Oreochromis niloticus: one gene and its partners. The protein of the gene in region 1 interacts with the protein of each later gene in a pairwise test. Links are inferred from orthologs where the notes say so. Each region holds a gene or a part of one and is shown in the gene's direction. Other genes may lie near its edges.

Region 1 (6,882 bases):
GCTTTTGATAAATTATTTAAATTTACAAGCATGTAATCTCAGAGGTGTTTTGAAGATTTTGTTTGTGTAAGAAATTGAAGATATGCTTGCTCTTTGCTTTGTTTCCAACTGCACAGAAACAATGTTACCGTTTCGAGAGCAGTGCACAATTTACTAACTATGCTGAAGTCTGATTGCCATGATGCTTGTACCAATCGCACCTCTGAGAAAAAAAAAACAAAACCTCATCACTGACATTTTATTTGTTGTTGAAGATGTTTTGTGACCTGGTAAAATGATTCGAGTGGCTTTTTAAGACAATCGGCGTGTCCATTTAGAAGAGAAATTTCTTCTTTGTTCAGCAGATGGTGCTAGCTTCCTAAAAATCAGTTGCAAAATTAGAAAATAAGATCTCAAGGATCTTTAAGGTCCTCTTGGTAAGTAAAAATGGATTTTGAACATTGTAACAAAAACAAACAGCAAAACTACAGCAATTATGTTTGTCATTAAGCATGCAGATGAAGCTGGATGTAAAGCTTTCGTATGAAGTCAGGCTTTGAAATTGCTTTGTTCCAGTTTCTGTGTAGTTCCAGATTGAAAACAGCATTTCAAAGACTTTATTTTTTTGTTTTTATTGTAATGTAACAGTTCAGAGTAAAATGACCTTTTCTCGAGATACTTGCGATAGGTGATCCACGAGCAGTTTATATATTTTGTAAATGTGAAAATATTGACTCGTGTTACCCAGTTTGTTTTCATTTTTAATATTTTCCACGTTGTCTTATTTGAGCATCACCATCCCCTAAATGTGAAGATAAATAACCACTTCTTTAGAAACTAATCACATAGTCGGTTAATTATGACACATTGGAATCACAAGGTATTTAACAAATCAACCACATAATTACTTTGACCTGGCATAGAGCTCCAGTTTTGTCATGTAAAGGCAGCACCCTTTGTTTACCCAGTGTGTGAATCATTGCCATTTATGTAAGAGAAAATGACTGGGACCACAACATTGGCAGATGTAAAATCAAGTGCTTCTATTTGAAAATTATTTCTCTTTGTTAGTAAAATGATAAAAAAAAACTTTTACATTTTAAACTGTTTTGAATTTGACATTATTGTCTGCTATGTTTATTATTTATGGAGTTTAAAGAATTGAGCATTCTTTAACATTTATTTTTAAATGTATGTCACGTTCACATGGATGATTTTGGACTCGTTTTCTTTTTCATAGCCACCTTGAAGCTGTTCTTTCTGTAAACTCTCTGGACCTCTTGCCTTCATTCAGTTAATGTACAATAACCTTTTTGTACAGTTAAAAGATTTCCGATATCTATCTGTTCATTTGAAACTATGTAATTAAAATGACTAACAAATACGCATATCTTTGAACTTTTTGTTTCCTTTTTACGTGAAAATAGGCACATCTATGAAACTTGATCATTTCTAAGATATATGGCTTGACAGACCAGCTTCAATAATAGGCTCCTGCATAATAATTTCTTATAATGCCTGTGTGACTACATTCCCATCTCTAGTACACGTCAATATGAGTAAAGCAACGGCTCTCGCTCCAACTGTGAAAAAACAGGTAGGTTGTTGCATGAGAAATAAGAACTGTTGAACCTGTTAACCCCCAGAAAACAGCTTCTGCATGGTCGAAGAATGTGAGCAAACATGTATTTCTTTTCTCATGAAACAGTGAAATCAGCAGCAGTTGCAATATGGAAAATAAATCAATATGTTTCATTAACTTTGAAAACAAAAGTTGGGTGCAAAAGCTAGGCTGGAGGACATCTTCAGTTATTTGGGAATATAGTAGGAAAGTCTATACTGTTGTATAAAAGACCCACTGTTTATGAACCAAACATTAAAATGTATATGGAGAATTACAAATTGCTGAACATATATAGTGGAAAGTGGTGAATAATATGCTAAACGATTGTTTTTTTTCTATTGTGAAAAATCACAGGGGCGTTGGCCAGTTGTGTATGTGTGCAATCAGCTCTGCTATAGCAAAAGAAGTACTAACAAACCAATTTGTTGGTTATGCCCATAAGGAGCATAAAAGAAATAGAAAAACAAAGGCTTAATTTTTATGTTTTTCCATTTGAAGGCAGTTGAGTACAGAACGCTCCTCCCTTCTCTCGAAAATGACACTCCATAAAACTCAGGAGGCCTGATTCAGTAGAATGTCGTTGGCTGCATGTTATGGCATGTGAGATGGCCTAGTTGCTTGCTGGTTTAGAAACATTGACACATAAGGATATAAAGCGACCTGATCGGAAATTCAGTTTATTTGTCATTAAGAATTCTCATAAGCATGTGACACAGGTTTTGTGAAGTCATGCATGGCAGTACTCCAAAATGTGACAAGAAAAGCCAAAACAAAAAAACCTCTGATCTGCTTGAATGTTTAAATTCTCTTCAAAAAAAAAAAAAAAAATCAGTTTGAAATAAATGGTGTAAAGCCAAAAACACACAGCTGGAAAATAATTAATTTTCAATTTTCTCTTCCTGAAAAGAGCTCCCTTTCTCTTTCCTTGTTCCTTGTTCGTATTTTTGTTTGGACTTTATGGAAAAAAAAATTCACCTCAAAGCTAAACATACCTTCCTTAGAAAGCTCTTCAGAAAAGGGTATGATGAAAACCACTGAAAAGGAAGTTCCTTTCACAGGTATGTCAGTGTGGAATTTTGTGTTTTGATGTCTTGATGTTTCCATCTGTTTTCTACTGGCATGCTTTTGCTTGCTTTGCCTAGTACTAATAATATTAAACTACACTGACTGAATTTGGATGGAAGTCAATGCTATTTTTACAATGTACTGTAACGTAAATACTTGGAAACTTTTTTCCTCCACACTCAACTCACTCATGAAATATGCGAGAACATCTTATGTTGCTGGTTTGGTTAATGATGATAAACAAAATCCAAGGTTCTTGTTTGACAGAATCAGCAGACTCCTGTGGGACAACCTCGCTTAGCCTCTATCAGGTCGACTGATAACTGCTGAAAACACATTTTTATAAGCGTTCCCTTAATTTCCCCCTTTGCTTTGGGCTATACTTTATAACTATTTGTATGTATGGAAGTGTGTATGTTGGAATGAATGTCTGACCGTACTGTTGATTTAATGTCCATTAATGTGTCTGTATGTTTGAACAGGCATACTTAACTTTAATCTGTGGCTTCTATTGACACTGTGAAGCACTTTGTAGAAAAGTACTATACAAATAAAATTATTATTATTGTTATTATTTTATCAGTAGTAGTAGTATTGTTGTTGTTGTCGTTTTTTTAAAATAATTGATTAATAAATAAATCATTTACTGTGTTTTTCTTGTCTCTTGCTTGCCCTCAGACAAATTCAGGGGAACCTAGAGTTGGATCCAGAGACCAGAGAGGTTTCGTCTTGTCTTTGGTGGAATGAGAATGTTATTCGTTGTTTATCATGTTTCCACAGATTTATGAAAATGCTTCAGGCTCCTAAGTGTAACGGGAAAGGGGTTGCAAGGTAACAGGAAACCTGATAAACAGACACCAGTTCAGTTGCCTTGTGTGTTTACATTTGATGGATTCAATAATTATCTGTGTTTGTGTGTGTGTTGGGCCAGGTTACATTTTTTGTGATTAAAATATACCGATTTTCCTGAAAAAAATGAATAAATAAAGAAAATACACATAGTGTTCTATTTAATCAAAAGTACACAGGGAAATATAAGCAACAATCAGAAAGTATTTCTTCAGTCAGTTTCTTTTGTTTTGTACAAGGACATTGCTATTAAACACGAGGAAGAAAAAAGTTTGGAAGTCCTCGCTGCCTCAGTAAACCCCGCCCGGTAACAGGCGTGGTTTGCTGAGGGAAAGCGGCTCCCACCTCCCTCCTTCTCTATATTTACTGGCTGGCTGTCACAGCAGCTTCTGTACCAGAAACAAATCAGTCTCCGTATTGCTTCACCTTACTCTGTATGGTCTACATCCCGCAGACATGGACTTCCAAGTGTTGATGTACACGGTGCTATCGCTTTCTATCCTCCACGCGTTTGCGCTCTAGCTGTGCGCTCCAGGCCCGAGGAGCGTCCAGCTGCTGACGAGAAAGGGACTGATATTATTTTGTCATCCATTGACACATCACTGTGCAAGAGAGAGGGGGGATAGTAGACCTAGCAGCAGAAGAGACCACACAGTCGTGACAGCTAAGACCGTTTCTGGATATCGGACAACAGACAGTGGCTTTTTTGTGTCCTCCATCATGGCGAGTGACTCTCCAGCACGGAGTCTGGACGAAATCGACCTATCTACTTTGAGAGTAAGATTAATTTACGTTTAATTTCTGTTAAAGAAAAAAAGAGAAAAAGAGTGTGTGTGCGTGTCTGTGTGTAAGAAAATTGATGTGTGCGCTCGCGCGTTCCTCCTTCTCTTGCACCTGACAGTGCTCCCTGAATAACAACCGGCACAGAGCAGAGGAGGCTGCAAAAGGCGGATGTGTGGGAGACGGGCCGCCACAGTGTGTCAAATTATAGATCAAATTATATATAGACATTAACCAACATTACAGCTGGCTTGCACATCTGAAGGCTTATCTTCATTCAAGTCAGTTACCGGAAGGTCGGTGTTGTGTGTGATGCTGAATTAAGGTTGAGGCTGTGATTTTGCTGACCTGGATAGGGGGTGTTGTGTATCTTCTTTCAGTGGGCCAGCCTATTATAGCCTCATCAGAATTGATTCAGAGTGGAATTTAACCTATTTCTACCACACACTGCTGATTCTCGTGGCTTGTGTATTGTAAGAACAGGACAGAAACTGCTTTTAAGTCAAACTCATATCTATCCAGATTTTTTTCTCTCTTGCTGTTCTTCATGGTATTTACTCAGTGTGTGTGTGTGTGTGTGTGTGTACATGTGTGTGTGTGTGTGTGTGTGCAAGAGAGAGAGGCAAGCGTGCCAACCTACCTGTAGTCACTGTAACCTACTCAAAGTCACAACTGAAGCCTTGCATGCTGCAATAGCCAGTTCTTTTGTTCATCCAGTATGTGCTGTAAACCATAATACACACACACACACACACACACACACACACACACACACACACGTGCACACAAACAGACAGGCATACACAAACAGCCTGTGTTTATGTGTGGAGACCCATATTTTCACTTCATTGGGCAGTACGTGTGTTTCTAATGTGTAGGTGTCTGCCAAGCTGATAGTCAACTGCATAAAGCAGTAAGGGATGCTTCAGCTAAAGACCCGTTTGCCGCTTTGAGAAACAAAACCACATCCCTCTTGCTTTGTCTCTCTCACACAGCGCAGTTGTCGTCTGTTTGTGCCCACATGCCATTTTTGTCTCCAGTTCTGTCTTTGCTGGTCTCTTTCTTGCTTCATGGTTTCTTGCCTATTTGTTTCTGCTTCACTAACACCAACTCATCCATCTACCTCCATTCCGTTTCTTTTCTATCAATTTCATCACCTGTTTTTCTATCACCTTGTCTATCTGACTGACTGAATGTACCTCCCTGTCTCTCTGCCAGTCGTTCTGTCTCCTAGCATTATGTCTCTGCGCCCACGTCCTTGCACTGCTTGAAAGAAGAATAATATTTCCAAGGAATTGTGAATCAAGTGTTTAGGAAAATAAGTGCTACTTTTTAGGTTTACGCCTAGCAAAATTTCATCAGCGGGACGAGCTCTATTAAAGACAGAATGGAAAGAGAAATCTGAAAGAAGAAGAGGAGTAGAATAAAACAGACAGAGAAACACTGAAAGAGGAATGAGGAGGCGAGTGGGAGTTCAGCCATGGATGCCTTATTCTTTAGGAGGCAGGATTTCAAGTGTCTGTCACTGTGACTTAGAGGCAGCTTACAAGGACGTGCAAACACATCCAGATGCTCATGTTTGCCTTTACATAGAAGTGCATTTAGGAGTATGGGAATATATAATTATGTCAAATGATTACTACTATCTTAAAAGTAGTGATGAGTTCACAACACTAAGAGCCTTAAAGGTTTTAGGCAAGACCAGTAGGTTAGTTCAAACTTTCATTAGCCTCAAAGCTAAGATTCTATTATTATTGTTATTATTATTTTATTTTATTTATTTTTTTCCTATGTTAGATATTTCATTTGATGAAGTGGTACAGCTCTAAAAAAAGTTTTCATATTTTTCATAAAAATAGTGCTTGAGTCAAAAGATGGAAGTGGAAAAAATAGAAGAGAAAAAATAGAATAGAGATTTCCTACCACCATAATGCTACATTAGGGGAAGCCAGAACCTTTATTTTAATATTTTTCCCCCAAACTATACTCCAGCTATTTCCTTTGTAATATTATGTTGTGAATGTCTTTTGTGATTTCCTCCGTAACTAAGTTACACAACCTGAACAACATGTTCTACAAGCTGAAATAAACAATGATTTCCAGAGAAGTCTTAAACAAACCAAGGTTTGTCCATTCAACATGTACGAACAATACCTATCTTCCCGAGCAATACACACGCGCGCACACACACACACATAGACAGACACACACATGGTCTAAGATGAATTTACAGTCATCCACTGCTGGACTGGCTAGACAGGAAGTAGGTCAGCTGGCTCTGACGAGGTGGGTAGGGTTGAGTGGGGGCTTATAAATACTGGGCTTGGTGATGATGGTGGGGCATTGTGTTTTAAAGTCTATATGAGTGTATGGTTGGGGGGGGTGGGGGGCTGTTCCAGGGCTAGAGCTTCCTTATAGGCACAATGACCATCACACAGACACACACACTCATAAGAGACAGACAGAATTGAGTGGGAAGTAAAGTGGAAAGAGAAGTGGCTTTTCATGTTTGCTGCCTCTGCACTTTTTCCTCTCTTGCTTTGTTTTCATATGCCTTGTCAGGTCTCTGCAACATCTGCTGGTGT
Region 2 (7,774 bases), on another chromosome or scaffold:
TTTATCTTCTTTTACCTCTGTTTTGGTGTTCATCAGCTCATGTGGCAATAATAATTACAGGGCACTTTTTGACCAAAACAAAGATGGTTGCTCAAGCAACACAACACAAACCATAAAATGAGTAACATATATGTTTCTCTGGAAGCTAAATGCTTCACTGGATGTGTTCACCAATCAGTTGGTGAAATGATGAAAGTTCAAGTATTAGCCAGTATCACGCAGGTCATGTGTAGCCCAAAAGGCTTAATGTGAGTTGCAGATGACAAATTCACCCGACCTTTCCGACTTGGTTTTCTATTACAAATTACAAATTGTAAATTTAAAACACATTCCCCAGAATGCCTGAGTATGATGTTTCACTGGTATAGTATTTCTCTCGCTTTCACTCTCTGTTACCTCTCATTGTCAGGAATTCGGAAGGGTGAGGTCATTGCTTTCTTACTGTTGTGTTACATACAGCAGATGTCCTGCATGCCTTGTCTAATGTCAGCCCACAACTCAGAGGAGCCGAATCTTTGCTTTGGTTCTTTCAAAGGACTTCTTTAAAGAATTTAAGCACAGCCGAGTTTAATTTTCTTGCTATATTTGTCTTACCAGCCACTGGGGGCACAATATGGGTAGGAAGGACAGTAAGTGGAGGAACTGGTAAAGGGATGACGTACAGTTTGGAGATTGTGGTACTGACAAAAAGACAGGAGGCAGAGCTGGAGGAAGGTGCTAAGATTTGGGGGGGAATGACCAGGAGTAACAATAGGATAGTGTGGAGACAAATTTAGAGAGACAAGGCTAAGGTGGCTTATCCATGTGTAGAGGAAAGATGGAAGAAATACTGGACAAAGAATTTTGAAGATGGTGCTGGGAGAGTAAGGTGGAGGCCAATGAGCCCCTGTGGTGACCCCTGGAAGGTAGCTAGAAGAAAGTGTTACCCTGAATACATCACCTGCAACAGAGTTTAGAACACTTCATTAGCTACACCTTGCAAGTACCAAGTTGGACAGAGTTAAAATACTCAGACCAGCGCATTTGTCACCAAGAACCATGCCACTTTCAAAACTCTTAAATTAACTTTTTACCCAATTCTAATGCTCAGTTTGAACTTCAGTAGGTCATCTCGAGCGTGTGTACGTGCTGAAATGCTGAGCCGCTGCTATGTGAAAACTGCTCTTCTGTCAATATACTCTCATCTTGCCCATTAATATTGATATAAATGTATTAAAAGCTGTTTTTAATACAGCGGTGTGATGTGCTGTTTCTATGCCGTGAGTAAGTTCAAAAGAGATGAAACTCATCAAGAATGAACAACACAAGATGTTCCAAGAATCTCATCCTCCACAGTCTTCTGATGGCAATTTGCTCCATTAAAACATCATCTCGATTTGATGAAACACCTTCCAGAGAGTTTTGTAAAAACAACAAAACTCCAGGACTACAAAGAGAAGAGGACAGTGTGACTGTGTCACAATCATCACATGAGCGCCATCTTTTGGGTCCCAACCGTCCTTTAAAGCTTTGCTATGTTGTTGTTCAATGTCATGGTCAACTCACACGTGAAACATGGAGAATATTTTCTACCATATTTGACTCAATATGTTGACACAGATGTTTGGGTTCAATGTTGGTGATTAATCCAGATACAGTGAGATCCTGCAGCTGAGCTGTTGTCCATATTATTATTATATAATACCACTACTGTATGACTTGAGATTTCATGTTTCCATTTATATTTGTAAACCAAATGATACACACCACATATAGAAGTCAAATCCAAGGCTACAAAGGTGCCTCTAAGCAAAATATTTTAAAATAGTTTCCTAAATTTTAAGGCACTACAGTACAGTACACATGCAATTAACTGTTAACCAACACTGGCAATTTTTTGTAGCGTTGTAGAATTGTGTGCCTATTTGTGTAATAACCAGCTCTGGCTTGTAACTACACAGATTAAATGGCTTAAATATAAGACTATTTAACATGTTTATATTTAATATAAACAGGTTAAAAATAAATAAATGCCAAATCATTGTTGTCATCTGAATTTTTCTATTATTTCAACGTCAAGACGTAAAATATTTTAAGTTGGAAATGTAACCGCGAGTGTGCTAATGATGTTTGGAAAGCATTAAACAATCCAGTCAAGTACCCTCACTGTAAGTCTTCAAACTTTAAGTCCTGGGAGGAGGAGACCTTATTAGAATGGAGTTTGTGCCACCTAGTGTAGCAACTTTACTTTTACACTTTTACACTTTCACAAACAAACATGGGAACTTAGTATACTGTGTGTTTATTGCTGTTTTGTTTAATGTAATTAATGAATTTTAGTTACATACAGTTGTATTTTTCCAACTACAACTCCTGCCTGACCAAAGAGCTTAACACCAGTTTGATCAACCCACTCAACTACTGTGACTCTAAGAGGACGCGGATGCCTCTATGAACAACTTCACTAAGGAGTGTCGAACTCTGTGGGCTGACAACAGGTTAGTCTGTACTTGTGTTAGACTGATCTAAACCACACAACTTAAGCTGCAGAGCTGTTTAAAGACTAACATCTAACTAACACTGCCGATCACAGCTCGGCAGAGACACGACTGAAGCTGACGCACAACAAAAGAATTTGTGTTTTACCCGCTGTGTTTGTGTGTCTTTGTGCGTGTCCATGAGATTTACTGGAACATCGGTGCCCTGAGACAACACAAGCCCTTGTAAGTTGTTTGTTAGGAGGATTAATTGTGTTTAAAGACACTTGGACTGGAACTGCATTTGTATTTGATGTGCATTCATGAGCGTATTCTTCTGTTTTAACTTTCCTACACTCCTGAGTCATATGTTTAAAATTCCCATAATCCCTCTCACACTTATGGAAAGCAGGTGCAGAATGACTATTGTCAAAACAATCTCGGTGACCTCTGAGTTTTTTTAACTGGAGTTTGGATGACATTGCTCTCTTGGGACAAACACGCAAGTGCAAAACATCAGCAAATACATGCAGCTCTGTGTTTCAGTTTTGGGAGCTTTTGTTTTTCAGAATTATCTATTTTTAAGATAACACTTAGTCCTTGAATTTATCTGAAAACTCGCTCTCATCAGCAAAACAGGAGCCAACTCCAGCCTTGTTGGGTCTTTGTGTTAAGTGAAGCTTTAAAAAATAAAACAACAACCCCCGGTAACATTTTTTTCAGTATTTCCCACACTCTTAACTTCAACACTAGTATTTCCTGTCTTATAGAAATAAACAAAGCTTTTCAAGTCTTTTCAAATCAGCCCGAATTCATTCAGCAAGATCAACCACATCATATATTTACAGCAGATCTCAAGCAAAGGGAACAGCACAAATGTTCTTTTTTTCTGAATTCATTCATTCCTCATTCATTCTTATTAGACATCAAGAATCCTGTTTCTTTAAACAGTGTAAATCCTTTTGAACTGCATCTGTTGCAGAGAAAGTACTGCAGAAGAATCATGTGATTATGACTAAACACAAACACTGTATATACAATGATACAGCAAACTAATTTAACCCAAATATTACATTGTGTACTTTTCTATTTATACTTATATAATAGTATATCCATTAGGAAGCTTACATCCTCAGTAGTTTATTGCAGGCAGTATATTGTTGGTTGTTATGAAACAGTGTTTTTCCAGTGTGGTTTGGTAAAATGCCGATAAAGAAACATTTTAAATGTTGAGTCACTGTCAGGATGCGTCAAATGTTTCTGTGTCTGCTCACCACCTCTGAGAGGTGCCAATAAATGACAAAAAACTTCTGGAAAAGTCTTCTCACTGATGTCAAGCCAGAAACAATTGAAGGCAACCATGACAGGAAACAATTATTTATATCAAAATAAAAGTCTGCTTTCCGTAATTTGTGGAAGAAGCATGTGGGGAAGAAAAGTACATCAAATTGATGAATGAATCTGAATTCAATTTAAATAGCGCTTTAGTGAACACAATAACATATAATCAGTTATAAAATATTAATTGAAGACTATCTTGATAGGAGCATGTGTGTTACATCTTACAAAAAAGGTATTTTACACACAAAAAACTCAACATAATTAACTGGCCTGATTTTTATTTTATTTTAGGGCCCTCATTCATTCTGGGATGTACCACGTTAAAGGTGTAGGAGTCTAATATTGTTATTGCTGTTGTATTAGTTTTAGGTTACTATTATCAATGATATTTTAATGTATTAATCAAACTATAAAATAATAATAAATGTCATAAATACATATTATATGAAGGTCTATATATATGTGAAAAGTTTTTGTTATTAATTTCATGTTACAGCCCAAAAATATTATCTTTTTACTAAATGCATCATCTTAAAATATCAGTTTGTTTCAGTGGTTCTTTTCTGTTATTGTTGCTGTTCAATAATTTATTTATTATTTTGTTCTTTTTTGCCTTTTTTTTCTAATCAGCAAAGCAGATGTCAGTGCTAACTACTGAATGGTTGTGCTTTTATATTTTGTAGTGTTATTACATGATCTTAATCATCAAGTTTTGGAGGTTTCTGTCGGGCACAGTTCAGACTTATTCAGATGATTCCGTTTTTAAAAGAAAGAAAAGACGTTTGGCAAGTCTATCCATATTTGTTGTTAAAAATTTACAAGAGGTAAGTAGAATTACTGAACTGCGATTCCTAAACTGAAACTTAGCAATTTGCATGAAAATATTTTCGTTTTGTTTTCTAAATGTTTATTTTGAAGCGTAACGCAGGAAGTTGGTGTTCACATTGCGGTACTTTTGAGAGCTGGATGCGGCGGCAGCAGCATGCTTGGTCAGTGAATCACATGTCTGCACCGTCCCCGTTATCCGCTGGTATAAATAAGAGCAGCAGCGAGCCTGGGGCAGCTTCAGACGAGCTGGAGTCTCAGGAAACAGACAGAGGTGAGTCAGAGGAGCTTTGCTTTTTGCAGGTCGGCGATGCTCACAGAAAAAGAAAAAGAAAAACAACAAGTGTTTTTGTGTGCAGATTGTGGTGGTTACAGTTTTATATAAGCTATAACATATTTAAACAAAGCAGAACAGACCTCGTTTGCATTTTGCAGGTTTTGCAGATAAAACGTCAGACTGTAAAAATCACTTTTAACTTAATAATTAAAGCATGTCGTGTTATTCCCTTTCATGCGGTCGTGCTGACTGAAGGTGATTGCTGTTTAAATTGCTTACTCATGGGTGTGACCTCCATCTCTGGATCAAAACAACTGGATTAGGGAGGATGACGTCCTGCTGTGGTTTACTTCAATAACACGCTTCAGCATTTTACGCAGTGCTTGGTGCATAAATAATAATAAAAACATGAAGCTAAATTATAAATCACATGCATGTTTGCAGCTTTTAAAATGTTGCACTATTAAAGCATTGCTGGATCTTTATTATTATTGTTACATTTTCTGGTTTAGAAATAGAAATAGCCCTGATTCCTTCATGCCTATAGGACAGTTAAGTCCTATGGGTGAAGAAGTCCCCAAACACTTTAAATAATGAGGCCAGTGTCCCATTTTTGACAGATTAGTCCATTTTTTTCTTCTTATTTAAGCACCAGGAAAGTCATTAATGGGGCACCAGAAGCAAAAGGAGCAAATCTATCAGGCAAGATATTTTAGAAATACCTGGGTAATTTCACTGTCATTGTTACACTTTTGCAGAATAAACGACAAGTTTAATAAAGAAATTGTAGAATAAAATGAAAGAAATTTCATTAAATCATTGCAAAATATTAAACTTTATAAGTGAAATGTGCGAATAGCTGTGCAGCAGTATACTGCAGGGCAACAACGTCATAAATACAAAGTTATGGTAATGTAAGCTATTTTAGAGTATAAAGTGTAATCTGTATGAGATAAATGTTACAATAACAAAATACAAAAAACAAAATTAGCAAGATATTTTGTATTTTTCTGATTTTATAAACATAAACTACAACATCAGACAAACAAATTTGTTGTGTTCCCGATGCTTAAAGTGGCAGAGGTTTGCCTTAAAAATGAACAAAATTCTTCTTCATTTCTCAGTACTAAATGTCTTTTAATAGTGTCAAATAAAATATTTACAACGGTAAATAAATACTTTCAGAAAATAAAGGTGATGTGTGGGAGAATGAGCAAATGTTGATATCATACTGCTAATGCTGAACTTTCTAGAAGAACATCTGGAGAGGAGGAGTGTTGGTATTTCAGTTGTGTAACCAGGATCCTTGCAGCTGTTGTTCAGCAAATAACACAACTGGGCCCGCGCATTGTTAATACTTTTTATTTGCCTAACTTTATCTCCATCTCTCTCTCTCTCACTGTTTTTGCTGTTTAATTTTCTGTGGCTTTGTCTGTGCTTTTCATTTCAGCATTGCTCATTCTTTCCCCTCACTGAACGTCGGGGCTTACTCGTTATTTTTTTCTCTCATTACAAAAGGCTGGATTGGAAATAGGTGGACGTCCAGTCCAGCCCTGCTGAATTTAGAACAGCTGATGACATGACTGAAAAAAATATCCAGGAAGGTTACATCAGCGCTGATTTAAGACTATACTGTGTACTGTAACAAGAACACAGACAATGGACACAAAAAATCTCAATTTAAACTATTTTAAGATGGCATAAACCTTTTCTGATTAGTAATTATTAATTCGGTATGGGCATTTTGACCATATAGTGCAAGGAGACCCAAAAAGTTTCCGAAGATAGCAAAGTTTTCATACTGATTCTGGGGAAGGGTGTGTAAGCTGATCTGCAGGTCATCTTAAATATTCTTATTTGACTGAACCCATGCAGAGTCATGGGAATGAATGGCCCTCTTTCAGTGGGATGATTGAATACATTCAGTAGGACAGGGTTGAATAAATAAAGGGATCAGGAAATATAAACAGATCAACTACCAAACAATGCAAAAGTTCTTGACCGTTTTGGGGTGTTGCAGCAGATTTGTATGCATACTGTACTCTGCTTGTTTCCATAGAAACAGGAGGAGATTGTGGGCGAACGACTGCAAACAAAAACACACTGTAGAAGATGAGCAAGACACTCCTAAGACCTGTGCTTTTATACTGGGTGTGCAAATGCTTTGCTTCACCTGAAGTACCTGGAGCTTGCAATGTGTCTGCATGCAGACAATTTCATTAAGAACAGAACTACAGGTGTAAATGCATCTTTGTGTGAATCTCATTTTCAGCAGTTTAGAAAAAAGAAAAAGATGTCTATCTTGTCTCAACATGACAGATTTGCCCATTCACAAATCTTGTGGAAGACCTTGGCTGTCCTCTACATCAGTGATTTTCCTGATTTTTGGAAACCAACGAATCCTTCCTTAAATGTTTTCAGCATACTTTCATATTAAACAATATCTGCTTTTTATGCGATCACTTAGCTCTTTAAGCCTGAAAACATCTGCGTAGCTACCCTTTTGCTCAATCAAAACTCTAAATCAGCGTGAATGGTTTCGTAAGAGTCTTGAAAAATTCTTAGTCGTAATTCTGCCAAATTTGATCCACAGCAAAAGCTACGTCCGGTTTAATCACCATAGAAGTGGGCAGCCTTTCCACTGTGTGCGCCAAGTTCTGCAAACAAAACAAAAAATCCTTAAAAAAAAGTCTTCTAAGTAGATTTTTTTGCTTTCTGTTATGTTTTGTGTCAAGTAAGAACGCGCATTATCTAATGGTTGACACAAGTGTGTAATTTTGGTTATGGTTAAACACTGAGCTAATCCTGATAAAGACTAATCTCCAGAAGGCTCAAGAAAAACTCAGTGAATCAGCAAAGTTCAGCTAGACTGCTG
Region 3 (7,939 bases), on another chromosome or scaffold:
TCCCACCTCACAGTCCACAGGACCAGAAAGCACAGGATACCCAGTAGTTCAATGTTAATTCCCCAAAACATCAGAGCTTTTAGGACGATCCACACAATATTACACAGATGACGTCTTAATGTTGTGAATGGTTTGTGTAAGGATGGTAGGCGGGATTTTAGAAAAACCATTTGCCCAGTTTCCCCTCATTTCTATTAATATTGTTCAATATCAATTTTCAAACATTTTATTGAATTTTAATTATTTTTAATTCACTACATCCTACATAAGTGATGTGTAAATTAATGTATTCTACATTTTGAGTCATTTGCTTACCACTAGTCAAATTTAAAGACGTGGTTTAATTAAAATTAACCTTCAAAAATGTATGGTCTGTGTGCATCAAGAATTTTTCCTTTCTTAGTTTGATGAAAACCTGAATTTTTCAAAAACAATTTAAAGGACATCTCCATGGAGATGACCCTGAATAAGTGCTTTTCTGCTTTGCACATACTGTACATTCTAAATTACAGTGTGTTCAGTCACTAGTGAAGCTCTCGGAGAGTAATGACATTTTTCAGTAACCTGGGAAGCTTCAATTACATAATAAAAACACAGCATTATAGAGGACTGGACCGTTGTTACAGGCATCAATAGTTAATTCTGTCTCAGCTAGCAGATGCTCTCGTACAAGCTACAAAAGGACATTTACCATGTGTTATGGTTCACAGCCTGCCACTGAGAAACGTACTGACCCAGTGCGTCTCTTTACTGATGAGTCCCCCCACTTATGCATATTTTAATGCATGACACTGATATTGTCATTATGCAAATACACATTGCTCTGCTGCTTTGAGACTGAAGTGAGCTCTATCGCAACAGCTGGGCAGCTGGAGTCTCGATTCAAATTTGTCTCACACATCCACAGGTCACAGTTACATTTGCATTTGCACACCTGAAATTTTCTTAAACGTATCCAAAGTATTTTAGGGACCCTTATAGTCTTTGTGTCTGTCTTTTAATTACTTATACTCTATGACAGAAGATAAAGAGAGGCTATAACACACCATAAATGGTAAGAGTGGTTCAATCTGATCTACTCTGCTATTGTATTTGAAACAGAGACATTCCCACATGTTGCTGAGCTTCCAGCTTTCTTGTTGCACTTAACTAAACCTACTGGAGTGTGACATGTATTTTTTTAGCCCCCATAAAAGTTATTTGGCCTCATAAGAGATTACAAGAAGCCAAGATTTCTTAAACATAGAAATAGATCATACATGTTTTGGTAATACAAACAGTCATGTGAAGCTTTCACAGGACTTTATCAGTCGCTTACAACACTGAAGAGGAATTTCAGCTAGTATACCCTTACTGTTTCCATAGGAATTAAGTGGGCAAGTGGCAGCCCAGTGCTGCTAATCTCTAACAAGTATGGCTTGTTTGGATGGACTGCCAGAAGAAAGCCTCTTCTCTCTAAAAAGACCAAAGTGGAGATTCATGGCCATAATGCACAACACCATGTTTGGAGAAAGGTAAGTACAGCATGTCAGCACACCACCTACTGTCAAGCACGGTGGCGGATAGGCCATGATTTAGCTTGTTTTTGCAACCATGTCCTCATTTTTACATATTGGGTTTATGAAGCATAACACAATAAAGTCTCAATTGTGTAATAAAATATAGAATACTTTGAGCAGAATGAAGTATAAGGATGAAGAAAAGCATTAAAAAAAAAATGTAATCATATGAGGATCTCAGGAGGTGAAACTATATGACACTTCTGGGCTATAAATACACTTTAATTTAAAAGAGCCGCAGCACTGGATGTGATGATAATCTACATTAGTTAAGGTTGCTTTTAATCTTTTGTCCACCATGTGTATTTAAAGTGTTATAAGTCTCAGCTGAATGGTGCTTTTAATCTTTTGTCCACCATGTGTATTTAAAGTGTTATAAGAAAAATGGTTCAAAGTGGTTTTATTTTACTTTTCAGTATATAGATGTTTCTATCATTTTAATTCTAACAGCCTTTATTCACCACCCTCTGACTTATAAATATAGCATGCATGCTGTTCATTTGTTGAGCTTGTCTTGGTAAAGTCACTTGGGTAATTGTAGACTCTGTATACTCCCTGAGTGAATCAATAATTCAGAGACTGGCGAAACTTTCAAAAGTTCCTGCAGACGCTGGTGCTCAAACAGCGAGCTTTCACAGGTGAGATCAGGCTGGTGAGAATGTCCAAAAGAAGATGGGTGGAATTCAAAATCTGCCAGACGATAAGCTGTTCAGCCCCCGTCAGCCGAAGACACAGAGCATCTTCTCCCGCTGCTGCTGCTGCTGCTACTGCTACTACTGGTATGTTTCTGGAAGTATAAGGAAAAGTTTAATATTTTATAATTCTACAAGAATATTTTAACCTGGATGTTAGAACAAGAAATCTTCGAGTGAAACTGAGGCAAAACGCTTAGGTAGGATATTGGTTTAAGACTGGACTGGCCTGCAAATAAAAAGGGAATAAATGTTGGTCCACCTGGAATTTAATCTCAGGGAAATTGAAATAAAATGTAACAGTGTAAGGAAATAATCAAAGAATATGAAATATTAAAACTGGTTAAAATTTGTTAGTCTTACATTTGCAGTTTGAGGCATGCCCTGGGGAAATATGGCGTTTAAGCAAATGTGTAACAAATAATCTCCAGATTTCTAAAATCCCAGCAAAGACCCCTCTGAATTACTGCCCATATCCCCTATTAGCTCACTGGTGATCAAATAAAAACTTTAAAGCAACAAGATTAGTTCATCTAACGATCAAGCCATAAAGTTTATATTATCACTGACTTATTTGGGAGAAAATGACAGGAAAGATAAAAGGCCCTTAGTTTGCCAAGAATATGCTACTTTAATTAAATATATACTATTTTAAGACTGAAGATCAATCCCACATGGAGGCTGTGAGTAAAATATTGCCTGTCCATTTGTTTTAATCGTCCCCATCTGTCCTAGAAACCGATGCCAGTCTCTCATATTACCTGCAGCACCATTCAGCTGGGACAGCTCACGTGCTTCCTCTTTAACATATGGCAGCATTCTTGGTGATGCAGCCCATTCAAACGCCATGCTGGAGAATGTGAGGTGACGGCTGGAGCCTTTATTAGCAGCAAACATCTTTGATATGAAAATATTCTGTGTTTAAAAAAGAAAACTCTCAACTGGGACAGCTCTGGCAACCTCTCCTCCTCGCCTGTTACCATAGAAACTGAGCAGACTTTACAAGCAGACTTCAGACTGCAGAGAATGAAGGGAAATTTATGGGATTGTAGTCAAATATAGTGACGGGATTATTAATAATTAGCACTAAATGTATTATTTTTGCATTAAATAATCTTTTACATTGTGAGAAATTCAGCCCTCTTTTCTGTAATGGCTCTACAAATTCACAAATATCTTTCAAACCACAAAGACAGAGAAAAAAAGAGAATCATAAATTATGGAGAAATGTGGTGTGTTTGGATTTAAAGCAGTCAGCAAGTGTTTCATCACCACCCTCAATGGTAGACGCCAACTAAATGCATTTTAGTGAGATACTTATGTGGGTACAAATGGAGAGACATGTATTTTATTTTGATAGCATCTGGCATTTGCCTCCATTACTTTATCAGTCAAGATATATTTATAGAAGACAAATTTAAAGCTACCCAATAGGATTAGGAGTATTTCAAGTGGCAGGGAGTGAAACCGGTTTGAACATGCTTGATAATTGTTTCACAAAGTGAAAAAAAAATGGGCTAAAAAGTAAAATTTATATTAAAGGCTTATGTGGTTTCATGGTGAACAAGTTATTAAATCATAATATACTTAGTGTCTAAAGTAAATGTACTTATTATATTGAATATCACTTTTCAGAATCATGTATATACTGGATCATAATTTCTGATTCACTGATTTGTATGTCACTGTATGAGTGCAAACTACAGTATTTGCAAAGAAAATATGGTAAAGTAGAAGCAGAATGTAGCATTACATTGAAATACTTAATATGCTCTCATCCACTGGGCATCATTAAGCTTTACAGTACTCTGGTCCAAAGGCATTAGCGGGGCATGCCCGAGAACAGGATACACAGTGGTTAAAATTAGTTAGATTAAATCTATCCGCTGTTTTTGGATACAGGGTTATACTTTTACTTTTAATTATTATTTTGTTGTTGTTGTTTAGATATATACTAAAACTGTGCTGAATTAATTGTCATGTCATTGCTTCTTTTACTCAAAGTCAGAATCAGAGCTTGACAGTGAAAGAATTTTTTCGAATTAATTAGCTGGAAGTTGAATTTGGTATTCCCACCTCACCTAAAAACAAGTTTCTGGGAGACAATTCAGCAACAACCATGTGAGAACTTGAGTAAGAAAACACTTTCCTTTTTCAGTAGGTGGAGGTTTGCAATAAATAACAGATTCTGGTCATCAGACAACAGACTTTTTAATGACAATATATATATCGAAATGTAATTTTTTAACTTTATTTTTTTTATAAATGAATTAAAGTATTTAAAAAACTTTTTCTAGTACTGTGTGGTCATACGAAAAAGTGATCGCTTGCCAAAATTTGATTTCCTGTATTTGCCTGCTCTGAGTGACTTGATGGCCTATAATCTGTCCAACATTCCTGACACTATTTGGGAGTTGTGGTCACTTTTTCATAACGTTACTTTTATATATCTTTTACTTATACAGGTGTAAAAGTCCCACTGAAAATAAAAATGACTTTTTAAAGAGAGATATGGCTAAGAATACACCAGAAATAGTAACAATATAACATAATATATAGAAATTTGAAGTGGTAAAAAAAAACGACGATCATGTTGGGGACGGTATTTCTGACTGAGCGTGAACGCACCACCGTTGGGCTGCCAGTGGGCGTGGCTGTGAAGGCACCTACACTACGTCATCATTACTGGGTCTCATGTTTACGTGGAAAACATGGCGGCGGACTACCAACAAGGAGACAGCTAGTTAATACCAGTGGAAGTCTCTGGGAGCGAGCCACGAGTCAGAGAGAGAGAGGGACATTTAGCTGTTAGCTTTTAAATTTCTCTCGCGGATACTTCGCATGAGGCAGTTTCTCTGTTTGTTTAGCCACAGGGACTGCGGGGATGGAAGACGAGGAGAGGCAAAAGAAGCTGGAGGCCGGCAAAGCAAAGGTATGATTCTCAGTTTTGGTGCTAGCACAACTCACTGACACTGCTCTCATTACTCTGAAGTAGCGACTTAATGCTGTCGACAACTTGTTTTCTCGCGGCCGGGGTCTGTCAGACGCTTTTCGCCTCACCCCCCCTCCCTTTCATTTTACGCTATCAGCTGTCGGGCTCCGCAAACATGCGCCCTGCTTCGCTCTGACAGCCGGGCATGGGGCGGGCGGGGTGGGGGTGGTTAGCATAGCCGCTGCTAGTCTCCTTTGTCATGCTGCATGTCTGCACTTACTAAAGTGTTTCCTTTTACTTTACCGAAACCGATGTGCAGGTGTGCGCACGCAGTGTTAAGACCAGACGCCACATTGCTACCCGGGATTTATAAACGCCACCTGAAGTGACACTGACTGACAGGCTGGTGTAACAGGATTTACAGGACATAACCCCACTGGCTAGAACCAGCATTGCCTCACATGCCAAACTTGTGCTTTATTAGCTGTCTTCTAGAAACGATAGCATCCACAAACTGGATCAATGTTTATATTAATCGACATTGACACAGTGCTCACTCCTCTTTCAGTTTTGGCTCGTGGTGCTTGTGGATGACACTGCAGGAGCTCTGTTATCTATTTTTATAGCCTGTATAACCCAAACATCTTGTGGGGGATGTGTTTTATCAAAAAAGATGTTTGCAAAGAGATCTTAGCAACATAATTACAAGCTGGTCAGACCAGCCTGTGGTGAGCCACCATCTTTCTTTCATATCATGAATACACCAGTGTCATGCTGCAAGCATGTGGACAATTAGATAAAGCATATGCACAGTTGAGTGTTGCAGTATAGCCCTGAATGTTGCATTCTTATACATTCTTTCCTCAGCTGTCTGGATGCAAAAGCATATATATAAATGAGACTTTAGTTGATGCAGAGGCTTCTTAACAATCTTAATAATATTTAAGGAAAATCTTTATTTGCAATGTTGCCTGTCTAGTTTTCATGATCCTGCTCTCAAGGTTCAGATGTGGGTCCAGTGTTAGATTTCATGGTGTATGCCAGTTGTTATGGATGTTGAAGCTGTGGAAAGCTTTGGGAGGAGTGTCGGTACTTATTTGACTGGAGTTATTTTAAGTTGCAAATTTTAAGACAGAAACATCAGCCTGAGCCATTAGATTGAGACCAAATGTTTATAAAGTGAAGCACTTGTGTATTTCTAAAAATATTACCGTGCAGCACAAACTTACAAAATCTTGTAAAGAGATTGTATCTGCAATCTTTGTACATAGGTAATGTGTTTATATATCTATTTATTTTTTGTTTTCTTTCTACTGTGGGAAATGGGATCCTGAGGTTTGATTACGTCTTCTCTTTTACTCCAGGAGAGCCCTAATGAGAATGAGTCTCTACGAACTAAATTGTCGAGTCAGAAAGTGTCAAAACTGCTTAAATCAGGCAGTCTCACAAAGGGAAATCCAGCCTCTTTCCATCCAGATGCTGCAGAGAAACATTCAGCATGCTGGTTTTTAAATTGCTTGAGCTCTCTGGTTTTTGCACTGCAGGGGAGACCGTCTCCCGGGTTATGACTTTGGTATTTTGGTTTATAAAAAGGCCCCTCTGTGGTGCAGGCTGGTTTCTTTCACACAGTGCCAAATCACAGTGTCCTCACGCAGTGAAGAAATCTCATGACATAATGTTTAACAGGGACTTCCAGGGCTGAGTCAGTCCATAAGCTGTGGGGAGTGTTTGCATTGTCTTCTGGCTTCCTCACTTTATAAAAAAATATTTGTTTTGTCATGTATTTCCTCCTGAAAAATAGGATTTTTAGTAATAAATCTTAACAAGAATGACTTCAAAGATGCATTTCTGAAATCAGGTGAAGGAGAAGTTGATGTTGATATCTGAGTGAAGGGTAAACTGTCTGTCATCTATTGTGTAGCTCGTAGCAGGCGAGTGCCTATTGAGTCACACCAGACAATAAGCAAAGTGAATATTGTGGGCCAGTGTTGCCAGGCTTTTGTTTCAGGCTGTTGTGTGCAGATGCTTTGTTCATGTTTGCCTACAAAATGGAGCACACTGACAAGCGTGTTACTGGCATTCTGGATTTATTCATTCAAGACTTTCACTCAGTTCTTCAGTTACATGAGTAGCATCTTCTTAGGCTCCCTGTATGAAAAACACTCAGCACTGACTGCAATAATGTACTCAGGGTGGTGTCAGATTTTCTGTTGGGTCAAAGAAACTCATGAACTCAGATATGGCACCTGTTCCTACACTTACTTTCTCTAAATCCCTCCCAATTTTCAGATCCAAACGTCACCTGTCATGTCACTTTGTAGTTGTGGGTAAATTTTCTGTCTGTATATATCTGTCAGATGAAGAGTTTCTTTGTTTGTTTCCCTCCAATTAAGATTGAAGCTTATTATATCTTCTTTTTTATTCTTACAGAGGTGTGCGTTTCCACTGAATGAAAGTACCTTTTTCATGTTGTTTGTCACCCTGGTCGTTGGGATCAGTAGTACATTGAACAGAGCTGATTTTTAATGAAACATCAGGGAATAACCTGCGTCAGTATATTTGCTGTTTGAGCAGGCTCAGATTTATACTGATTGGCTCAGGGGGCAGCCACTATGGTGGTGTTTAATTTGGCTCAGGGGATGCTCATAATTCGTAAAGGATTCTATGTGTATTTGTTTGTCTGCTTCTCCGATATGTCTCAACTGTGCAGCTGTGCAACCTCAGGCTCTTTCTGCAGAATGAAGAATCACTGATTT
Region 4 (7,461 bases), on another chromosome or scaffold:
TGCATTCCACTGAAATATATGAAATTTGGTTAAATAAATTGAATACCAGCCTCTTTCACTGAGCACTCACTCAGACAGATGGATGACAGCAGCTGGTAAGTCAGTAAACAAGCAAGAGTACAATAAATACTCTGTTTTAGGCTTTTTTAATTGATGTGGTAGTGTCACTTTTCTGAAAGTGAGGCTCTGTGTCATTTTAGCACACTCTGTTATTGTTCGCTCCCAGGACAGTTAATAAGCCATCTTTTCAGGCTCCAGTTAATCATCACGGGCTGTCCAATAAGACTGACAGAGCTGCAGTGTCTCTCACTATTCTTCCCACACAAAACCTTGTCCTGCGCTAAGAAAGGTGGGTGTGTTGCCATGCAGGGGTAGCTCCATCTTGTGGATCCAACCTTCGCTAAAGCAAAACAAATACAATGAAGAAAACTGAGGGATCCCTTCTCAGAATTCCCATTCACATATTCACAATCAAGTCTGTGCATGTGTATAAATGGGATCGTTATTATAACATGAATAAATATAAGTCTGTGTAAAATGTTTAAATGCATATAATCGTAGAACACTCACAAAATAAGAGCTTTTTAATATTTTTTTAGGTTATTAGTGCAGATTTTGGCACCTGCCTTTTAATACACCTTCATCGGGTCAACATCTCATGAAAAGGTTTGCAGATTTTCATGCATCGTTGGTCAGCCGGGCACAAAAACTGATGACTGTGCAATGCTTATCTTCATGCCAGTGACATGCACATGCCCAGAAACGGCTTTTGGAAAAGTCTCTCAAAGCTGGGACGCCTCCCTGCAACGTGAATCGTGGACACTAAACAGTCAGGTGATGACACCACGGGAGATGGAGTTGGTTGGTTAGTTGGTTGGTTACAGTTTTAACTCAACCTTTAAAAAAGGACTGATTATTTTAAAGCTAGAATTATCCATCCTTGCACTTAGTTACATATGCACAAGTGATTCTATCATTGTTTGACTAAAACAGTCATCATCTACTTCTTCTTGTAAATTTGTTTGTTTCTGTAAACGGAAATTGTCAAACAACAGTTTTTACACACAAACTCTGAGAAATAAGTCATGTGACACTGGCGGGTTGAATAACAATGATAATCATTTAGATTCTGGTGGGGATTTGATGTATTTTAAGACACCCGTTGCCTGATTTTACCCCTTGCAGAGCAAAGCAGTGGTTTACTAATTTTTCTACTTGGTGGATTTTTTTTGTTGTTGTTAAAAAAGAGAAGTGATGAGGAAAATATCAGAGTGGCATCAGAATCAGAGACTACATCAGCATGTCAAAAGAAAACCGTGTATTGCTGGGATTTGGTGTGAATTGTGAAAATGTATATTTGGGTGGGAGGTAGGAGGTGAACTCTATCAATTCTTAATCAGTGTGGATCCCTCCAGAGAAATAAGTATGTCTATGTGTAAGTCTGAGGTAAGTTTGGGCCCATATACATTTACATTTGAGCACATTTCAACTTTTTTACAGTCGCCTGCATTGTTAAAGCCTGCCAGCTTCTAAAACTTTTAAACTTATGCCATGGCAAAATATATTCTCATGCTATAACCTTGTACCTCTACCATCTCTTGGAAGTTTACATTAGAGTTATAAAGCTCATAATGCTACTCTTACAGATTTTCAAGCACTAAGTCTGCTCAGCGTTTCTGTAAAGTCACGGTGATTCTCATTGTTCACCAGTGCTGCCAGAAGCTTACGTTTTTTATTGGATGCCGTAACTCCACAGGGGATTTTTAGTATTCCTCTTCTCATAAATCTTTTCTCTAAGGCCACTGTGTCATCTGCAGTGAATCTGAGGCGTGCCCTCTTCCCCTACAGGCCGTGCATGGCTTTACTTCCAGCTAAAAGGTGATATTCCTATAAAATGTGTCTATAACCATTTCCATTTTATCACCTCCTCTTATTTTCAGAGATAAATGGTTTTTATTGTTTTGGAAGATTTATATGATAAGGGCATGTTACATGTCAGATCATCTCTGGAGCCCATCAAAAAGAAATTTCTCCCTTAAACATCACTTTATTTAAACAGCTTTTTAAAGTCAAAGGGGATAAAATTGTACATTAAATCACCAGAGATTGTCTTTTTCCCTCTATAGCGTTCAGGTAAATGTTATACTGTTGCCCTACACTTATCAACAGTCATAACAGCGAGGAGCTGACATTTAACCAAAGGGTAAAATTTGTAGTTTTTTGTCACAGCCTTGTAGGAGAGTTTTCTTTTTGCCTTAAGCGATTCTAGAAATGCAAACATGTGGTCCAAATCAAAATTGCTAGCAGACCTGCAACAGCCAGACTTCTTATTTTGAGTTCATGTGCTCTCTGCCGCACGCCTTGGGGTAAGGCATTAGCCACCACACGAAACAGAGGAACAGAGGAGCTGCATCTCTGCGTTAACCACCCACCGTTCTAGTCACCCGTCGTAGATCAAAAGCCCCGCCGAGTCGTAAGCATTAGAGTAAGAATGCAGAAAAAATGCAAATCACAGCCACATTTTCATTTTAGTCTTTTGGATCTAAAACAACATGAATTCCATTTTTTCTCCAGCAGACAGCAAAGTCTGACTCAGAAGCTTTTTTTTTCTTCAGGTATTTGCACAAGGCTGGTTCCCAACAGACGGAAAACGCCACATATTTAAACCATGACTCACGCCTACGGTGAGACTTTTTTCTAGCAGGTTCACTGTCTGTTACAGTTTACATTACCCAAGACATTATGACTCAGATTAAGAGCAAACATACAGTGTCTTTTTTAGATATGCATCATTTTAAGATTAATACCAACCCCAGAAGAAGAGTGACCTAATCAGAGATCATCATATAAATAATAAATTTGAGCTGTTGTTCATCTGTTTGTGTTGCTCACTGTATGCCTCTCGTGTGCCTTGTTCCAATTGGGAAGACAGATTCTAACCTGGAGGCTATTAGTTGTAAATCATGTTGATCTCAGAATAGGTTTATATAAAATAAATACTTTAAATTTTATGAATTTAAAACACTGGTAGCATTTTGTGGGTGTCATGTTTGTCTGTGTTATTGAAGGCATTCAACTTTGAAAAGACTGCTACAGAAAACTCATTTCAGCTCAATGCCGCTGCCACACCGACAAAAGAACCGCTGTGTTAGAGGTCATCCTCTGGCAATTGTACGGACCTCTGTGCTCGGTTCAGCAGCACTGCACTGGTAAAACTGGCTCTGCTTCAGCTGCTGCAGCACAAAGACATTAATTACAACACAAGAAGCTGCTAAGTTGGCAACAGCGTGTAATGCTCCAGCTTTCCCCCGCTGTGACATTCACTTTTAGGTATGCTGCCAAAGATTAAAGGGAAAGTAATTAAACTTCTCCTAGCAGAGACAAAATACTACCAGCCGGAAAACCTGATAGCACATACAGGACGAAACCTTATGTAAGTCTTGTTAGTTGTGTTTTCAACTGGCCTGAAGGAAAATCACAGTAAAACATGCTTAAAGAGTGCCCTCTTGAGTCCAAACTGTGATTTTTGTATTTATCTGCACCTTTTGACAGGTTACAGCTTTTTAGATAGTAATCTTAAGAATAGCCAGCGTGTCTCTGCCCTGAACCCAGACTGGGAGCTGCTTTCACAGAAGAGGAGCCTGATAGCAGAAGACACTGTCTCCCATTGGAAATTTCAGGACCCACAACTAAACCTGCAATCTTGGAGTGAAGAGTAGGGCATGCAATGAGGTCTATTAGATCTTTAAACCAAGGACCATGTATGTGAGGAGAAGGATTTTAAATTTAACTCTAGATTTAACAGGGAGCTCAAGAAGAGACTTAGGAAAATGGATTTCACTTTCTACTTTTTGTTAATACTTCATCCATTCGTCCATTCTCTTCCGCTTGGTCGTGGGGTGGCTGAAGCCTATCCCAGCTGTCATAGCGTGAGAGGCAGGGTACACCCTGGACAGATCGCCAGTCTATCATTAAAAAAAGAAATTCAGATAAAGATGTTTCCCATCTGTTTTCCTCATACAAAGATCTTTAAATTCATTCATGCATATTTTTCATTCAGTGTTTTAAAGAAGTGATGCAAAATACCACATCCACAAATGCAAATTCAGTGTTTCTAAAATGTTTTTTTTCTGTTTTTAAGAATGAGTTTGTGAGTTTGACATTGCAAGACTGAGTTTAGTGCATGTATCTTGGAATGTAATTTTTAAAATACGGCCTTATTTGTTTGTTTGTTTTTATCCCTCTTTGTGAGGATTCCTTGTGTTGTGTTTTTGTTTGTTTGTTTGTTTTTTGCTGTTTTGTATGTGCTTCTGTATACCACATGTGTTAAAGTGTCTTCACGTTCCAAATGTCTTAATAAATAGGCTGTAATATATCCCAAACACGCTGCTATCTAAGGGGGCGCTGTAGCTAACTCAGCCCAGACGGGCCCTTTAAGTCTGACGTTTCAGATTTCCTCCACGTTGGCCGCACATGCGCGGATAGGCTTACCACCTGCAGAAAATTAGAAGCGAACAAGGAAGTCTGCCCCTGAGTACTGGATGATAGGCTGGATAAAAACAAAAAACCTCTCCGCCGGAAAGTAGACACCCGGTCACCAGTTGCTTCGTATATCGGCGTGACAAGATGTTTAAAAAACTCAAGCAGAAGATAAACGAGGAGCAGTCTCCGCAGAGGAATGCGCAGTCACCTCAGCAGGCCCAGGTTAGTTGTTGTGGTGCTCGGAGCTAACTAGCTAAGTTAACGTCTGTTTATACTGCAAAGGCTTCACGGTTTGGAAGTGGTTGTCTAGTTATGTCTCATTAAGATAACTCAAGATGACAGCTTAATAAGCTAACTTGAATTGTCAGTTTGTCCTTTTACTGTCTTGGAAACATTAGCACCGTGCTAAGTCCTTAAGTTAGCAGCTTAACTTGGCTGTCAGCGGTTGGACCAACTGGAACTGGTAAATCCCGTTGTCCGAGTAGAAGAAAAAGTCTCACTTCTTACAGCTAATCATCAACTTGTTTGTAGCCAAAATGCCAGCCCGCATTTTTATACTCGCCAGTGACAACATGGGCGTGTCTGAGTTAATGCTTCTTGCATTGGCTGCCAGTGGATGTCAGCTGGAAGCTATATTTGACCCTTGCAAATCCTACTACTCCCAGGCGTCTCTATTAAAAACAATACAGAAGTAGCACACAGATTTCAAGTTGGAAGTTTGTCATTGGAAAAGTGCTAGAAAACTCATCAGATCCCTTGCTTTCCTCTTCTGTGAAAAAAAATGCGAATTGTTCTTTGAAATATGAAGCTGCAAGTTTCTTTAAGCTCTCCTAAATATATGTGAAGGAGTGAAGGTATGTGTCATAGTTTGGAGGTCCATCATAGTTCAGTTCCAAGTTAATGTAGATGTTTTCGCTGTATTTCTCTGTTTGCCTTACATGCAAAAGATCCCCAGTTCAGTTCTGGGAGGAGATCCAAACCCAGCCTCAGGGGCTCACAAGCTAGGGCTTATTCCCTATCCAGATAAATGACAGGGCTGCATCTGGCATAAAATATGCAGATCCAGCAAACCTTTGGAAGATGGATAGATAAATTTCCTTGTTCTAATTGGCTTGGTTCTTATGCAGATTGGCTGTTTTTGAGGAACAAATTTACATTTGTTATTCAGAGCTTGTGTGCAGTTTATGATTCCCATTGACTTTCTGTAAAACCACAATCTTAGACTGAGTTTGGCTCAAAGGTGAAGGCGTACAAAAGGTGAAATCCAGTAACAAGAGAACTTACACCCAGCAAGCATCTGTATTAAAGTTTGATTTATTGCCAGGCAACAAAATCAATATTATTGTTATGACTATGTTTTTTTATTATAATTACTTCTTTTTCCTTATTACTTATTTATTTTACAGATCAGCAGTGGAGAGCGACGTAGCAGCCAAACTCCCCCATTTAGTGATGGCACACCTTCTCCCAGTGACAGAGAGGTGAGCATGGTGTCAGCCTGTGATTCATATCTTTATTTATATATGTATACTTGTGTTCAGACCACAGCCTGCAGAGGTTTCCAAGTCCCTCCCCAGCTTACATTCTAATGATTGTTTCTCTTAGGCTTTAAAAATGTGCTTTGTATGCTTTGTTTAAGCGTACTGTCTGCTTTATAACATACAAGTCCCTTTTTGATTGAAAGTGAACAAGTGAACATTTAGTGCTATTGGTTTTCAGAGTCTTCTGGTTGTCACTAGCAAACTTCTTTGATCCAATTATTTAAAATAATCCAACAATCTAGACATATTGAACCCTGGACTCCTTAACATATTGCAGTGGATACAATAGCCAACACCAGATGGGAACATATGAGCCAGACTTGCAGTGTGGTCATTAATGTTGCAGAGCAGTCACCACTTGGATTCCATTCGTACGGTATTTTAAGTGTCTGAAGTCACTTATTATTATTATCATTAGTATTATTATTATTATTGTTATTACATTTTTAAGAGACCCTGTTCAAACAACTGAGCAGCTTCTTCTTTAGAGACAATGGAAAGGGCGTTTTAATGGTGTAGAGCAGACAGTGTTTCAGCATGTCTATGAATAATTGATGTATCCTCCTCAGTGTTTTTTGTGTCTCCTGTGACTAGTTGCAATATTATGCCTCAATAGATACTGACAAGTCAATTCAATGCAGGACTATGCTCCATTAGAAAGAGGTAGATAAGCGTAGGTTTAATGGCAGTGACTCTACAACTGATGATGCAAAATGTTGTTATTACATCTGTTGAGATTAGATATGGATGTTTACAGTCTTCGTTGTTTTTCAGATAAAACAATATCTTAATCACTCTTTCCTTCATTTCAACACTGCAGAACGCTCACTGGAGTAGTGGCACCGTCTCTTTTGGTCAGGTTTCTATGCACTGCTCTCCCCACTTGTGCCTTTGGAAGCACACATGTGTTGCTGTTATGTGGCTCGGCAGCCTCAGTGTAGAAGCTTCGTGTAGCATCACAGCATCTTTACTTCACCTCACGAATCATTAACACTTTGACATCTCTGAAAGCATTTGTTTCATGACTGAAGGCAGATTTAGCCCTTGGTTAAAATTGTGAAGATTACATGAGGAGATGTGAAACTGTTACTCATAACATTACTGTTGATTGAGTGCTTGACTTTTCAGTTTTTCTGATTTTTTTTTTCTTTTTCTTCCAGCTTATGTAGTGTATCTCCCTCTGTTTCAATCTCTGCTTTCTCTTTTTTATTCATCTCAGTCTTTCTCTCTCTCTCTCCGCCAGCCTCCTCTCATCAGGCTGGTCAGCCACTCCCTTCAGGGCTTTTTCACACTCATGCTGTTGTTTTTCTCATTGCTCTCTGTGTTCCTCTCCTTTCCCCACCTTTCGTCCCGTTACTGCACTGATGGGGGTCAGGTGCTGGCCGGGATGATAGCAGAGCCTGCTTTTCTCTCTGAGTATACTATCTTTGCTCTGGAC

What was found.
Region 2: the proteins of tnika (region 1) and clu interact in a two-hybrid assay, tested with the Homo sapiens proteins (2 studies listed by BioGRID and IntAct). The link is inferred for Oreochromis niloticus from reciprocal best matches to the Homo sapiens genes TNIK and CLU.
Region 3: the proteins of tnika (region 1) and akap9 interact in a two-hybrid assay, tested with the Homo sapiens proteins (2 studies listed by BioGRID and IntAct). The link is inferred for Oreochromis niloticus from reciprocal best matches to the Homo sapiens genes TNIK and AKAP9.
Region 4: the proteins of tnika (region 1) and golga4 interact in a two-hybrid assay, tested with the Homo sapiens proteins (2 studies listed by BioGRID and IntAct). The link is inferred for Oreochromis niloticus from reciprocal best matches to the Homo sapiens genes TNIK and GOLGA4.

The regions. Positions count from the first base shown.
Region 1 is NC_031983.2:19,800,165-19,807,046, reverse strand, and holds the start of tnika (TRAF2 and NCK interacting kinase a), read left to right. Parts: upstream 1-3,873; 5' UTR 3,874-4,237; coding exon 4,238-4,294; intron 4,295-6,882. UniProt on the Homo sapiens protein: Serine/threonine kinase that acts as an essential activator of the Wnt signaling pathway. Recruited to promoters of Wnt target genes and required to activate their expression. May act by phosphorylating TCF4/TCF7L2.
Region 2 is NC_031980.2:16,613,828-16,621,601, forward strand, and holds the start of clu (clusterin), read left to right. Parts: upstream 1-4,759; 5' UTR 4,760-4,896; intron 4,897-7,774.
Region 3 is NC_031985.2:17,966,260-17,974,198, reverse strand, and holds the start of akap9 (A-kinase anchor protein 9), read left to right. Parts: upstream 1-4,933; 5' UTR 4,934-5,135; coding exon 5,136-5,183; intron 5,184-7,939. UniProt on the Homo sapiens protein: Scaffolding protein that assembles several protein kinases and phosphatases on the centrosome and Golgi apparatus. Required to maintain the integrity of the Golgi apparatus. Required for microtubule nucleation at the cis-side of the Golgi apparatus.
Region 4 is NC_031978.2:21,684,895-21,692,355, forward strand, and holds the start of golga4 (golgin subfamily A member 4), read left to right. Parts: upstream 1-4,455; 5' UTR 4,456-4,626; coding exon 4,627-4,704; intron 4,705-5,888; coding exon 5,889-5,963; intron 5,964-7,398; coding exon 7,399-7,461. UniProt on the Homo sapiens protein: Involved in vesicular trafficking at the Golgi apparatus level. May play a role in delivery of transport vesicles containing GPI-linked proteins from the trans-Golgi network through its interaction with MACF1. Involved in endosome-to-Golgi trafficking.